Callithrix jacchus: one gene and its partners. The protein of the gene in region 1 purifies or fractionates together with the protein of each later gene. This does not show direct contact. Links are inferred from orthologs where the notes say so. Each region holds a gene or a part of one and is shown on either strand. Other genes may lie near its edges.

What was found.
Region 2: the proteins of DDX39B (region 1) and SF3A1 purify together in Homo sapiens (affinity purification with mass spectrometry; 3 studies listed by BioGRID and IntAct, with this or other methods). This does not show direct contact. The link is inferred for Callithrix jacchus from reciprocal best matches to the Homo sapiens genes DDX39B and SF3A1.
Region 3: the proteins of DDX39B (region 1) and MYO1C purify together in Homo sapiens (affinity purification with mass spectrometry; 5 studies listed by BioGRID and IntAct, with this or other methods). This does not show direct contact. The link is inferred for Callithrix jacchus from reciprocal best matches to the Homo sapiens genes DDX39B and MYO1C.

The regions. Positions count from the first base shown.
Region 1 is NC_133505.1:39,026,304-39,030,049, reverse strand, and holds the start of DDX39B (spliceosome RNA helicase DDX39B), read left to right. Parts: upstream 1-867; 5' UTR 868-921; exon of another isoform or gene 922-1,038; intron 1,039-1,109; exon of another isoform or gene 1,110-1,457; intron 1,458-1,646; exon of another isoform or gene 1,647-1,724; intron 1,725-2,316; 5' UTR 2,317-2,449; coding exon 2,450-2,660; intron 2,661-3,746. UniProt on the Homo sapiens protein: Involved in nuclear export of spliced and unspliced mRNA. Component of the TREX complex which is thought to couple mRNA transcription, processing and nuclear export, and specifically associates with spliced mRNA and not with unspliced pre-mRNA.
Region 2 is NC_133502.1:200,934,223-200,937,806, reverse strand, and holds the end of SF3A1 (splicing factor 3A subunit 1), read left to right. Parts: coding exon 1-67; intron 68-1,436; coding exon 1,437-1,538; intron 1,539-1,655; coding exon 1,656-1,727; intron 1,728-2,474; coding exon 2,475-2,576; 3' UTR 2,577-2,975; downstream 2,976-3,584. UniProt on the Homo sapiens protein: Component of the 17S U2 SnRNP complex of the spliceosome, a large ribonucleoprotein complex that removes introns from transcribed pre-mRNAs.
Region 3 is NC_133506.1:66,755,836-66,759,481, forward strand, and holds part of MYO1C (unconventional myosin-Ic), read left to right. Parts: intron 1-19; coding exon 20-102; intron 103-321; coding exon 322-427; intron 428-600; coding exon 601-681; intron 682-951; coding exon 952-1,043; intron 1,044-3,062; coding exon 3,063-3,157; intron 3,158-3,234; coding exon 3,235-3,281; intron 3,282-3,390; coding exon 3,391-3,471; intron 3,472-3,646.

The DNA of each region.
Region 1 (3,746 bases):
GGTCATACATGGGTGAAACCCCATCTCTACTAAAAACACAAACATTTGCTGGGTGTGGAGGCGCCTGTAATTCCAGCTACTCGGGAGGCTGAGGCAGGAGAATCGCTCAAACCCGGCAGGCGGAGTTTGCAGTAAGCCGAGATCGCGCCACTGCACTCTAGCCTGGGCGAAAGAGCAAGACTCCGTCTCAAACCAAAAAACAAAATTAATGAAATGTAGTATAACCCTCAGGCCCTACTATTAACACTTAGGGGAGAATCCAGACCCAGTCTCCCGTTCGGATTCAGAACACCTTCCGGACTCACTGGCCCTAGGGATCAGCTACCTAGGACAGCATCGTTTTGGGAAAATGCCGCCCACCAGCCCCACCACAGGGAAAGAGTCGGACAACACCCACGAGTACGCCAGTTCCCTTAGACTTCCCTCAGCTAGGGCCTGCCGTTTCCTAGTGCGTGCACAGCCGCCCTCAGGTCACCTTCACTACAGGGCCAAGGACCCCGTGGGAACTCGCAGGCCTTGCCACTCTCGTTCCTCGCGCGTCCATGGAGGGGTGCCTAGAGAGAAGACCTGCGTGGCAAAAACCTAAACGAAGAGATGAGGGGCATGGAGAAGAGTAGAAAAAGATCAGAAAGATAACAGTGGGAGGAGATGTTAGTTTCCTTTATAACTTTTGTTACTGGCGGTAGCAGGGAAGTTAGAAATGGTTTTAAAACAAATTTCAGACAGGCATTTTCCAAAGGCAAGCCTGGAGCGCGCGGATCCATACAACTGCGGAAGGCCCTGTTTCCGGTCCTTTGCGCCTGCGCTCTTGCAGCCAAGAAGGCGGGAGGCCGCAGTAGAGAGAAGGCTGCAACCGGAAGTGAAGGCAGATTTCCCTCCTTCGTCGCTGTTGCTGCCGCCATACGCGCTCTCCCTGCTTAGGTAAGCTTCGGCCTTCGCTACAATCCGTTTTCATCTGCGCTTCTCCGTACCCATCCCGTCACATGGGTTCCTGATACCCTCTTCACAGGCGCTGGTCTGATCGCTGGGGCCTAGTTGGTTCGTTATTTCTGTAGCCTGCATCCCTTTCGAGAGCAAACTGTTCCTGGGGGGAGGAAGGGTAGCTAAGAGGGGGCCCAATCCAAGATGGTGTCCTCGGCGCCATTGTGTTCGCTTTGCTCCCTTCATCCAGTGGGTTCTTCTCATATTGGAGGCCTCATCATCAATGAGAGGCGGCGCTAGGCGTCCCTTGGTCTTGGTATTTGCGGAGGGCGGGGCTCTTCTCACCTTCCTTGTCTTTTTTTGGGCCCTTTCTCGGCCCACGATGGGGCTGGGAGGAGGAGCCGGTTGGATTTTTCTCACCTCGACTTGCCCAACCTAATCTGGAGTGCCTTCCAAGTGTTTACGATTGGTGTCATTGTATGTTTCTCAGAAAGGAGTCTCACCTTCGTAGCGCAACAGTGATGTGAGACCACTTGGTAAAGATTTTGTCGAAGCCTGGGTGGGGATTGCCTTTCTCTGTCAACTCTTAGCTTATTGTAGGGTGGAGACGTGAAATTTTTTGTTGTTGTTGCTGAGCCATTTGTCTTGCACTGCCCGCCCCATGCTAATTACACAAGGATATCTTAACGGAAGGGAGGGTACTGAGAAGTGGGAGGTGGACGGCGGCCATATGATGTTTTCCTTTCGAAAGGTGAGCGCTTTGCGCAGTGATGACCCTCATCTATCACCCTTGACTGATGGCTGCTGAGTTAGGCATCTGCACGTTGGGATTATAATAGGGAAAGCGCGGTCCTATGAGGATTTTTCGGACTCTGTCATCTCCATTTTCCACTTCTCCAAGTTATTAGTAGTATTTTATCCTTTATTATCTATTTTGTTTCATCCTTGTTACTTTCAGATCAAGAATTTATTTTTTTTTCTTTTTATTTATTTATTTTTAAAGATGGGGTTTCACCATGATGGCCAGGCTGGTCTTGAACTCCTGACCTCAGGTGATCCACCCACCTCGGCCTCCCAAAGGGCTAGGATTACAGGCGTGAGCCACTGCGCCCGGCCCAGATCAAGAATGTATAAGTTGGTCTTCCTGTTCCAACTTTTCTGGTTTCTGCTACTCGGATTGCTAATCTTGTTGGGATCCTGTGTCCTAAGCATTTTCCCTGGGACTGCTTTTTCTATGCTGTTTTATTTGCTTTTCGCTTGTATGTTTTGTATCTGTTTCTCTTTCCAGGTAAAAGTTTCCCAGTTTAGGGGAAGTGGGAACTGGGGATGGAAAAGAGGAGGTGAAGGCTCTGCTTATGACTAAATCTTGCTTTTTTTTTCTCCCCCCCCCTGCAGCTCTTCTTTTAGAAACTAGTATCTTTGCTTTCCTTTGCTGTTCATCAACCCCCTAATTTTCACCCCTTGTTTTCACCTATTTTCCAAGAACCCATCCAGAGCCCCCTTCCCTTTTTCCCCTGCCGGCCCAGTTATGGCAGAGAACGATGTAGACAATGAGCTCTTGGACTATGAAGATGATGAGGTGGAGACAGCAGCTGGGGGAGATGGGGCTGAGGCCCCTGCCAAGAAGGATGTCAAGGGCTCCTATGTCTCCATCCACAGCTCTGGCTTTCGTGACTTCCTGCTCAAGCCAGAGTTGCTCCGGGCCATTGTCGACTGTGGCTTTGAGCATCCATCAGAAGGTAAATTTTCTCTTGGGCATGTATGCTCATTAGGCTCTTTAAGGATGATAAAAAGATGTGTTCATTGTTGCTCAGGTGGTAAAGGTTTATACTTAAGGCTAGATCAGGACCAGTTGCAGTCGCTCATTCCTGTAATCCCAGCACTATGGGAGGCCAAGGTAGGAGAGGGTCAGTTGAGCTCAAGAGTGCAGGAGAAGCCTGGGAAACCTAGGGACTCCTGTCTCTATGAAACGTTCAAAAATTAGCCAGGTGTGGTGGCGTACACATGGAGAGGTATGGCAAGCCAGGGGAGGATTGCTTGGGCCCTGAAGATTGGGGCTGTAGTGAACCATTATTGTACTACAGTACGCCAGCCTGGGTGACAGCAAGGGAAAAAAAATCAGGAGATAAGTATCAAAAACAATTTTGGATATAGGAGGCTTATACAGGTTTATTGTTTCTTTTATGATAGCAACAAAGTGCCAGTGATTCAAGAGTAACTTATAGGTCTGCTCTTCATTCTTGTGACTGGCTTTTCTTCTCCAAGACGGAGTCTTGCTCTTTCGCCAGGCTGGAGTGCAGTGGCATGATCTCAGCTCACTGCACCCTCCATCTCCTGGGTTCAAGTGATTTTCCTTCCTCAGCCTCAAGAGTAGCTGGGACTATAGGCATGCACCACCTTGCCTGGCTGATTTTTTTTTTGTATTTTAGTAGAGATAGATTTCATCATGTTGGCCAGGATGGTCTCAATCTCTTGACTTCATGGTCAGCCCACCTCGGGCTCCCAAAGTGTTGGGATTAAGGCGTGAGCCACCATGGCCGGCCTTGTCTGCTTATTTTTAATTTTGTCACTTCTAATTTTAAATTTCCAGAGAGCTCCTGGTTGGACCTGTAGACCCCCTTTGTTGGGCCAGGCCACCTGTGGTCTCTGGAAGCCTCTGTGACTGGTTTAAAGATGACTGGCTTCTGGGTCAGGTACCAAGTCCTTCATTTCGTTCAGGGTTGCAGTTATGTGATCCAAAGTAGGGCAGTCTAAGTAGGAAAAATGACCTGTGGCAGGTGTTCAAATGTCATGAATTGTTAAAGATTAAGAAAAATAAAGAAAGA
Region 2 (3,584 bases), on another chromosome or scaffold:
CACCTCCAAAAAACTGAAGACAGAGGACAGCCTAATGCCAGAGGAGGAGTTCCTGCGCAGAAACAAGGTATGTGATCCCAGAATGCTGCTGAAGTTTCTAGCTGGAGAGTCCCACCCCTGTTGTACACTTCCCAAACTGAGGGTGTTTCACTCCCAGTCTTACTTCTGGGGCCTAGGTCAGCTATTGGAGGCATCTAAGGGCTTTTGAGCACACAGTGAATGTGGGGCCAACAATTGGAGGAGCAGAGAGCATTAGTGGTGATGGGGATGGTGGTGGTGGCAGAGGTGGTGACTGTAGTGGTCCCCCTGGTGTGGACTTACAGAGGCTAGCAGGGAGAACAACTCATGTGTGAGAGGGACCCTAGACACCTGGAGGAAATTTTGTGTGGTGTTTTAAAGTTTAATACGGCCTTCCTCCCCAGCTTGAGCCCTTAGGAGGTGATTCTGTTGAGCTCCTGGAATAAGGGGAGGTGGGGACCTTGTCACTGCCAATCTCTAGGGAAGCTGTCAGGCTGCAGTAAGGAGGCAGAAACAGCCCCAGCCTCTGCTCCCCCAGAGGTATTTGACCACATTATTTATTATTATTTTTTTTTTACAGCCTCTGCCTCCCTGGTTCAAGTGATTCTTGTGCCTCAGCCTCCCGAGTAGCTGGGATTACAGGTGTGCACCACCACACCTAGCTAATTTTTGTATTTTTGTAGAGACGATGTTTTGCCATTTTGGCCTGGCTTGTCTCGATCTCCTGGCCATAAGTGATCCGCCACTTTGGCTTCCCAAAGTGTTGGGATTACAGGCATGAGCTGCCGCACCCACACTATTTGTTTGTTTTTTAATAATCTCATTTCTTAAGCACTTAACTCAGCTGGGCACAGTGGCTCACGCCTGTAATCCCAGCACTTTGGGAGGCCGAGGCAGGTGGATCACAAAGTCAGGAGTTCAAGACCAGTCTGGCCAAAATGATGAAAACCCAACTCTACTAAAAATAAAAAATTAGCTGGGCCACAGTGGCAGGTGTCTGTAATCCCAGCTACTTGGGAGGCTGAGGCAGAAGAATCACTTGAACTTGGGGGATGGAGTTTGCAGTGAGATGAGATTATGCCACTGCACTCCCAAGCAAGACTTGTCTCAAAAAAAAACCGCTTAACTCAAGTACCAGGATAGAGCTAAATAGTTTACAGACACTCACCTAAGTTCTTCACTTTAGCTCCAGACTCACCAGGAGACAAGATAGAGATTGTTTTAAAGAAAAGAAACTTAAGTCTTGCAAAGGGGGAGTGACTTCTACAACCTCACAAGCGGTATCATTGGTGAATCAGGCCAGAATCTAGCAGCCCAGATTCACCGATGACATTGTCTGGACAGGCCTAGGATAGCAGAGCAGAGTTCCTGATTGGCTCAGGGCTCCCTGGGTATAATGACCACCTCCTGTTTTATAGGGTCCAGTGTCCATCAAAGTCCAGGTGCCCAACATGCAGGATAAGACGGAATGGAAACTGAATGGGCAGGTGCTGGTCTTCACCCTCCCGCTCACGGACCAGGTATTACGAGTTGCTGCCACAAACTGGCATCAGGTGCATGAGAACCAAGAGATCAGGGGAAAGCTTCCTCCAGCCGGCCTTAGCAAGGAGTTGAATGACCTCTGCTTGATTCCACAGGTTTCTGTCATTAAGGTGAAGATTCACGAAGCCACAGGCATGCCTGCAGGGAAACAGAAGCTACAGTACGAGGTGAGTCAATTTGTCCACAGACCTGCCCCTTGGATCCTGACACCTGCTTATACAGAAGCTAAATCTCTCATGGAAACAGAAAGGGGAGTTGAGTGATACCTGGGTATTGCCATCTGAATCCATCCTAGAAGTGATGATACTGGCTGGGAGTGCTGGGGCAGGTGTGCCCAACAGTGCAAGGCTCTGGTGGGGACACAGTACAGTCTTATGTGGGATCTGTAAGAACTTTGCCTCAGTGACTGGGCATAGAGATATAGGGACAAGACTTAGGCATACTCTGGTTCCAGTGATGCTGGTATGACCTCAGGCAGCCCAACTTGGAGGTGATAGTCTAGCCCAGCCTGAAGCCTGCCAGGTCACATGGAGGGATTATGTTCTTCTTATCTAAACTTTAACAAATCCCCACTCTGGGCCTCAGTTATCTCTATAAATTGAGGCTGTTGGACTAAGTGATTCCTAAAGGTCTTGTGATTTCAGAGTCAGAGCTCCATGGGGTTGGTCAGGAACAACTTTTTGGGGAGTTAAGCTTTGAGTCAAATGTTGATAAAGGAAAGGAGCATAATTGGTAGGAAGAAAGCAAACAGTAAGAAGAATGAGAAGCCTCTAATCCCCAGCACACTACTGTCTCACAAGTTCCTGTATTTGCTAAATCCAGAGCACAAATGGACCAAGTGCACAGTTGTAAGGTTGCAGCAGTATGCTCGAGGCTGGATTGCCCCATGCTAAGGCATGCTCTCTGTTTTCCAGGGTATCTTCATCAAAGATTCCAACTCACTGGCTTACTACAACATGGCCAATGGTGCCGTCATCCACCTGGCCCTCAAGGAGAGAGGCGGGAGGAAGAAGTAGACAGGAGGAACCTGCTGTTAAGTCCCTGCCATTTTGCCTCTCACGTCTCCCACTCTGACCCAGACCCACCTGAGGCCTTGGACCCTGTCTGCATATTTGTTTCCCTCTTACTCAGTTTGAGAATTCAAATTGCCCTGCAGGGGTTCATTCCCCTGACCCCTTCCCCACATTGGTAAGAGTAGCTGGGCTTTCTAAGCCACTCTCTGGAATCTTTGTGTTAGGATCTTGATTTGAGGACATTGAGCTCTTCAAGCAGACATTAGCAGCTGAGAGCCCAGGGATGTCCTACAGGATAGTTTCATAGTGATAGGTGGCACTTGGCTAATAGAATATGGCTGTTAATGTCATTAATCATTTTGTACCTTGACATGGATTGTCTAATAAAACTCTTGGACCCTTCTTGTGAAATCAGTTAAATAAGACTTGTGCCCTGTCCAGACTCGAGGCAAAGGTAACACTGCACAGGGCTGTGTGACTTCTCTGCTTTGAGGATTCTGGGGTTTTGTAACTAAATTCTTGCTGCCATCATACTTTTTATGTATTGGAATTATATTCGTATTGCCCTTTTAAAACATTGGGATCCTCCAAAGGCCTAGCCCCGTGTATTTAACAGTATAATACAAAGAAGCATACCAGGCCCCACGACAAACAAGAATACATGGTGCAGTCCCTGTGTCAGTGGGTGGTGGAGACATGTGCAGATGACACTGGAGGTTTCCTGCCAGCCTGGAATCACCCATTCACCTGATTGATTGGCTCTGTGACTCTGGGCAGATGCCTCACAGGTGTATGGATTTGATGAGGTTTCTTTAAAATGTATTTATTTAATAAATACTTAATTGTACTAAGGTAATGTACCAAGGACTTTATAAAATTCAAATAATTTACTATTTTAAGCATTTTATCATTTTAACTCCTGTAATCCTCATGTGAGTATTCCTGTTGAACATGGGTAAACTGAGGCACAGAGATTATGAGTTGCATGCCCATAGTCACACACTTTGAAAG
Region 3 (3,646 bases), on another chromosome or scaffold:
GGTTGAATGACTGCCCTAGGATGTGGACAGCCCCAGCTGGCGGAGCACTACCGTCCTTGGGCTGCTAGATATTTACGGCTTTGAAGTGTTTCAGCATAACAGGTCAGTGCCGCCTTCCCCTGTCCCGCCCTCCTCCTGGGTCTCCTGGCCTGGCCCCTCTCTTCTGTCCCCCAGCCTGATTCTTGCTCTGGGACTGCCCAGCCAGCCAGAGGGCGGCTCTGTGTTTTGTACTGTCTGTGCTCAGGGGCCCTGTCCTGCCTTCCACCCCTCCTGGTCCTCTGTGCCCTCTGAGCCGCGCTGGGCTCTTCTCTGTCCTCACAGCTTTGAACAGTTCTGCATCAATTACTGCAACGAGAAGCTGCAGCAGCTGTTCATCGAGCTCACGCTCAAGTCGGAGCAGGAGGAGTACGAGGCCGAGGGCATCGCGGTGCGTGGAGCCTGGGAACGCTCTCCGTGGGCACAGCCTGGGAGTGCTCTCTGTGGCACAGCCTGGGGGCACTCTCCGTGGGCACAGCCTGGGGGCGCTCTCCATGGCACAGCCTGGCTGTGGCTGAGGACGCTGGGCCCCCACGGTGATGCCTCCTTCCCTGTCCCCCTCAGTGGGAGCCTGTCCTGTATTTCAACAACAAGGTTATCTGCGATCTGGTGGAGGAGAAGTTCAAGGGCATCATCTCCATTCTGGTGAGTCCTCCAGGCTGGAGGCTGGTGGGGGAGTACCCCAGGTGCCCTGTCTCCTTCCTCTCCAGGCTGGCCCACAGAGGGCTGGAGTCAGGGCCTGGCCGGGCTGTGAATGGAGGGCGGAGGGAGTCGCTGCCAGGGTTGGAAGCTCCCTGCCGAGGCCCCCTGCAGATCCACCCCTCCCTGTGTCTGTGCCTCCCGTCATGGTGCCCCCATCTTCTCTGCTCTCTGGCCCCACCGCCACACATCCCTCCCCTGTGCCACACCCCCCAGGATGAGGAGTGTCTGCGCCCTGGCGAGGCCACAGACCTGACGTTCCTGGAGAAGTTGGAGGACACCGTCAAGCACCACCCCCACTTCCTGACGTGAGTGGGGCTGTGGACAGCTGGAGCAAGGTTCCTGTGGGGCAGAGCCTGTGGAGCACAGGCATCCCTCACAGCCGCAAGGGGGTGTCCAGGGAAGGTGCCGAGCTAAGGATCCCTCACAAGCACCCAGAAAACTGAGAAGCTTAGATAAGCACGCTGAACGCGTGAGTCTCACCTGCACAGGAGGCTAGGGCCACAGCTTCACTTGAGCCCTGAGTTTGAGGCTGCAGTGAGCGAGGATCAATCCACCTCCAGCCTCGGCCACAGAGCAAGATCCCATCTCAAAAAGTGAAAAAGACAGCTGGGCACATGGTCACATCTGTCATCACAGCACTTTGGGAAGCCGAAGAGGTGGATCTTTTGAGGTCAGGAGTTAAAGACCAGCCTGGCCAACATAAACCCTGTCTCTACTAAAAATATAAAAATTAGCTAGGTGTGGTGGGTCACACCTGTAATCCCAGCTACTCGAGAGGCTGAGGCAGGAGAATCGCCTGAACCCGGGAGGCGGAGGTTGCAGTGTCTCCAAAAAAAAAGACGACGTTAGTAGCCTGGTTTCCTCCCTATTCTTTTTTGAGAATAAAACTTGCTGAGATTTTTTTAGCTTCCTTATTTGGAAATTGCTTTTTATTGAAGGAATCCCCTAAAGTGGGGAGAGGTAGAAACAGGAACCAGCGGCCAGGATGTTCCGTGCGTCATTGCCAAACCTGAGCCGCTCTGTAGGGAGCTGTCCTGTTGTTCCTGCATCTCACGAGACTCCAGGGGGAAGTCCTTTCTTTCCCCAGGTCATCTCTCATCTGGGGAGCTGAGCGGGGCTCAGTCCCAAGGCTGTTGAATGCCAAAGCCATAGTATTTTTTTGCATAATAAGGCTTGTTTCTGGCCAGGTGTGGTGGCTCATGCCTGTAATCCCAGCAGTTTGGGAGGCTGAGGCAGGTGGATCACCTCACATCAGGAGTTCCTTGGCCAACATAGTGAAACCCCATCTACTAAAAATACAAAAATTGGTCAGGTATGGTGGCACGCACTTGTAATCCCAGCTGCTTGGGAGGCTGAGGCAGGAGAATCCTTTGAACCCGGGAGGTGGAGGTTGCAGTGAGCCCACCATTGCACTCCAGCTTGGGTGGCAGAGTGAGACTCTGTCTCAAAAAGGAAAAAACTTGTTTCTGGGAGTCTCTCTGAATCTATGCTGGTTTGGGGGCCGCATGATTCATTAAATAAAAAAAAAAAAACTTGTTTCTGGTTATAAAAATGATCCCGCTCGTTGGAGAAGCGTTGGAATGTTCGCAAAAGCCCCGTGAACCTGTCAGCTACAGGCCGTGGCTGTCAACAGCACCAGGCATTTCCCTCTGGCCTTTTTCCATATGTTTTTTTTTTTTTTTTTGTAGTCAGGAACTTATTGTATACAAGGCTTAGGGCAATGCTGTATCCTGAGTGTTTTCCTGCAGCATCAAACAGAAAGTTTTCTCAAAACCCTCCTTGCCGAGGCTCTGACCCACACACTTTTTCCTCTGGCCTTTGGGGGCCCCAGGCCAACCCCAGGTTTCTGCTGGAATCTCAAGGCTACCACCCATCTCCATGCTTCTATCTTTGTCTGTATTTCTGGTTATTGCCTGGAATAGTTCTTAAAAGTAGTAAGTGGACCAAAGGGTATAAACACGCCTTGGACTAACGTACTCTCTCCAGGCGGCAGATTCCATTCTGAAAAGCAGCAGGCAGCTCACCACCCCCTTTCGAGCAGAGCCCGAAGCAGCGAGAGTTGCCCTCCCTGCAGCAGCCCTGGCAGTCAGGAGGCCCAGGCCCTGGTCCTGGCACTGTGTGGCCCTGGGCAAGGCTGTCTACCTCTCTGAGCCACTGTGGTCTGTTCTGCTGGGGGAGGCTGCTGGCCCTGTCTGGCCTCCCACACGGCGCAGGGGTTACGACCCAGCCCTGGGGTGTGCCTACTCTTTGCTGGGTGGCTGGCTCCTGCTCCTGAGATCCCTCCTGCAGTCCGGCCACCTGCAGCTTCCTCCCCATCACCTCAGGCACAAGCTGGCTGACCAGCGGACCAGGAAATCTCTGGGCCGAGAGGAATTCCGCCTTCTGCACTACGCTGGGGAGGTGACCTACAGCGTGACTGGTGAGGATCCTGGGCTGGGTCCTCACGGGGGCCGCAGGGAGCCTCTGTCTCACCTCACATGTGCTCTCCCCTCCCAGGGTTTCTGGACAAAAACAATGACCTTCTCTTCCGGAACCTGAAGGAGGTGAGGGACCTGAAGTGGGGGCCGAGGGGGAAGGGGTCACCCACAACTCTGCACCTGTGTCCAGGGGCCTGTCCCTGTGCTCCAGCCTGACCCCGGCTCTGCCACACAGACCATGTGCAGCTCGAAGAATCCCATTATGAGCCAGTGCTTCAACCGGAGTGAGCTCAGTGACAAGAAACGGCCGGAGACGGTGAGGGGTGGGGCCAGGCGTGGGTGAGGGCTGAGCCAGCCTGGGAGCTGGCAGCATGCGTGTGAGCCCGTGTTGGTGCCCGTGTGCACATCTGTGGGTGTCTAGGGGGCTGCTTCTAGGTGCCTCTTTGGCTGCTGCTTTTTTTTTTTTTCAGACGGAGTTTCGCTGTTGTTAC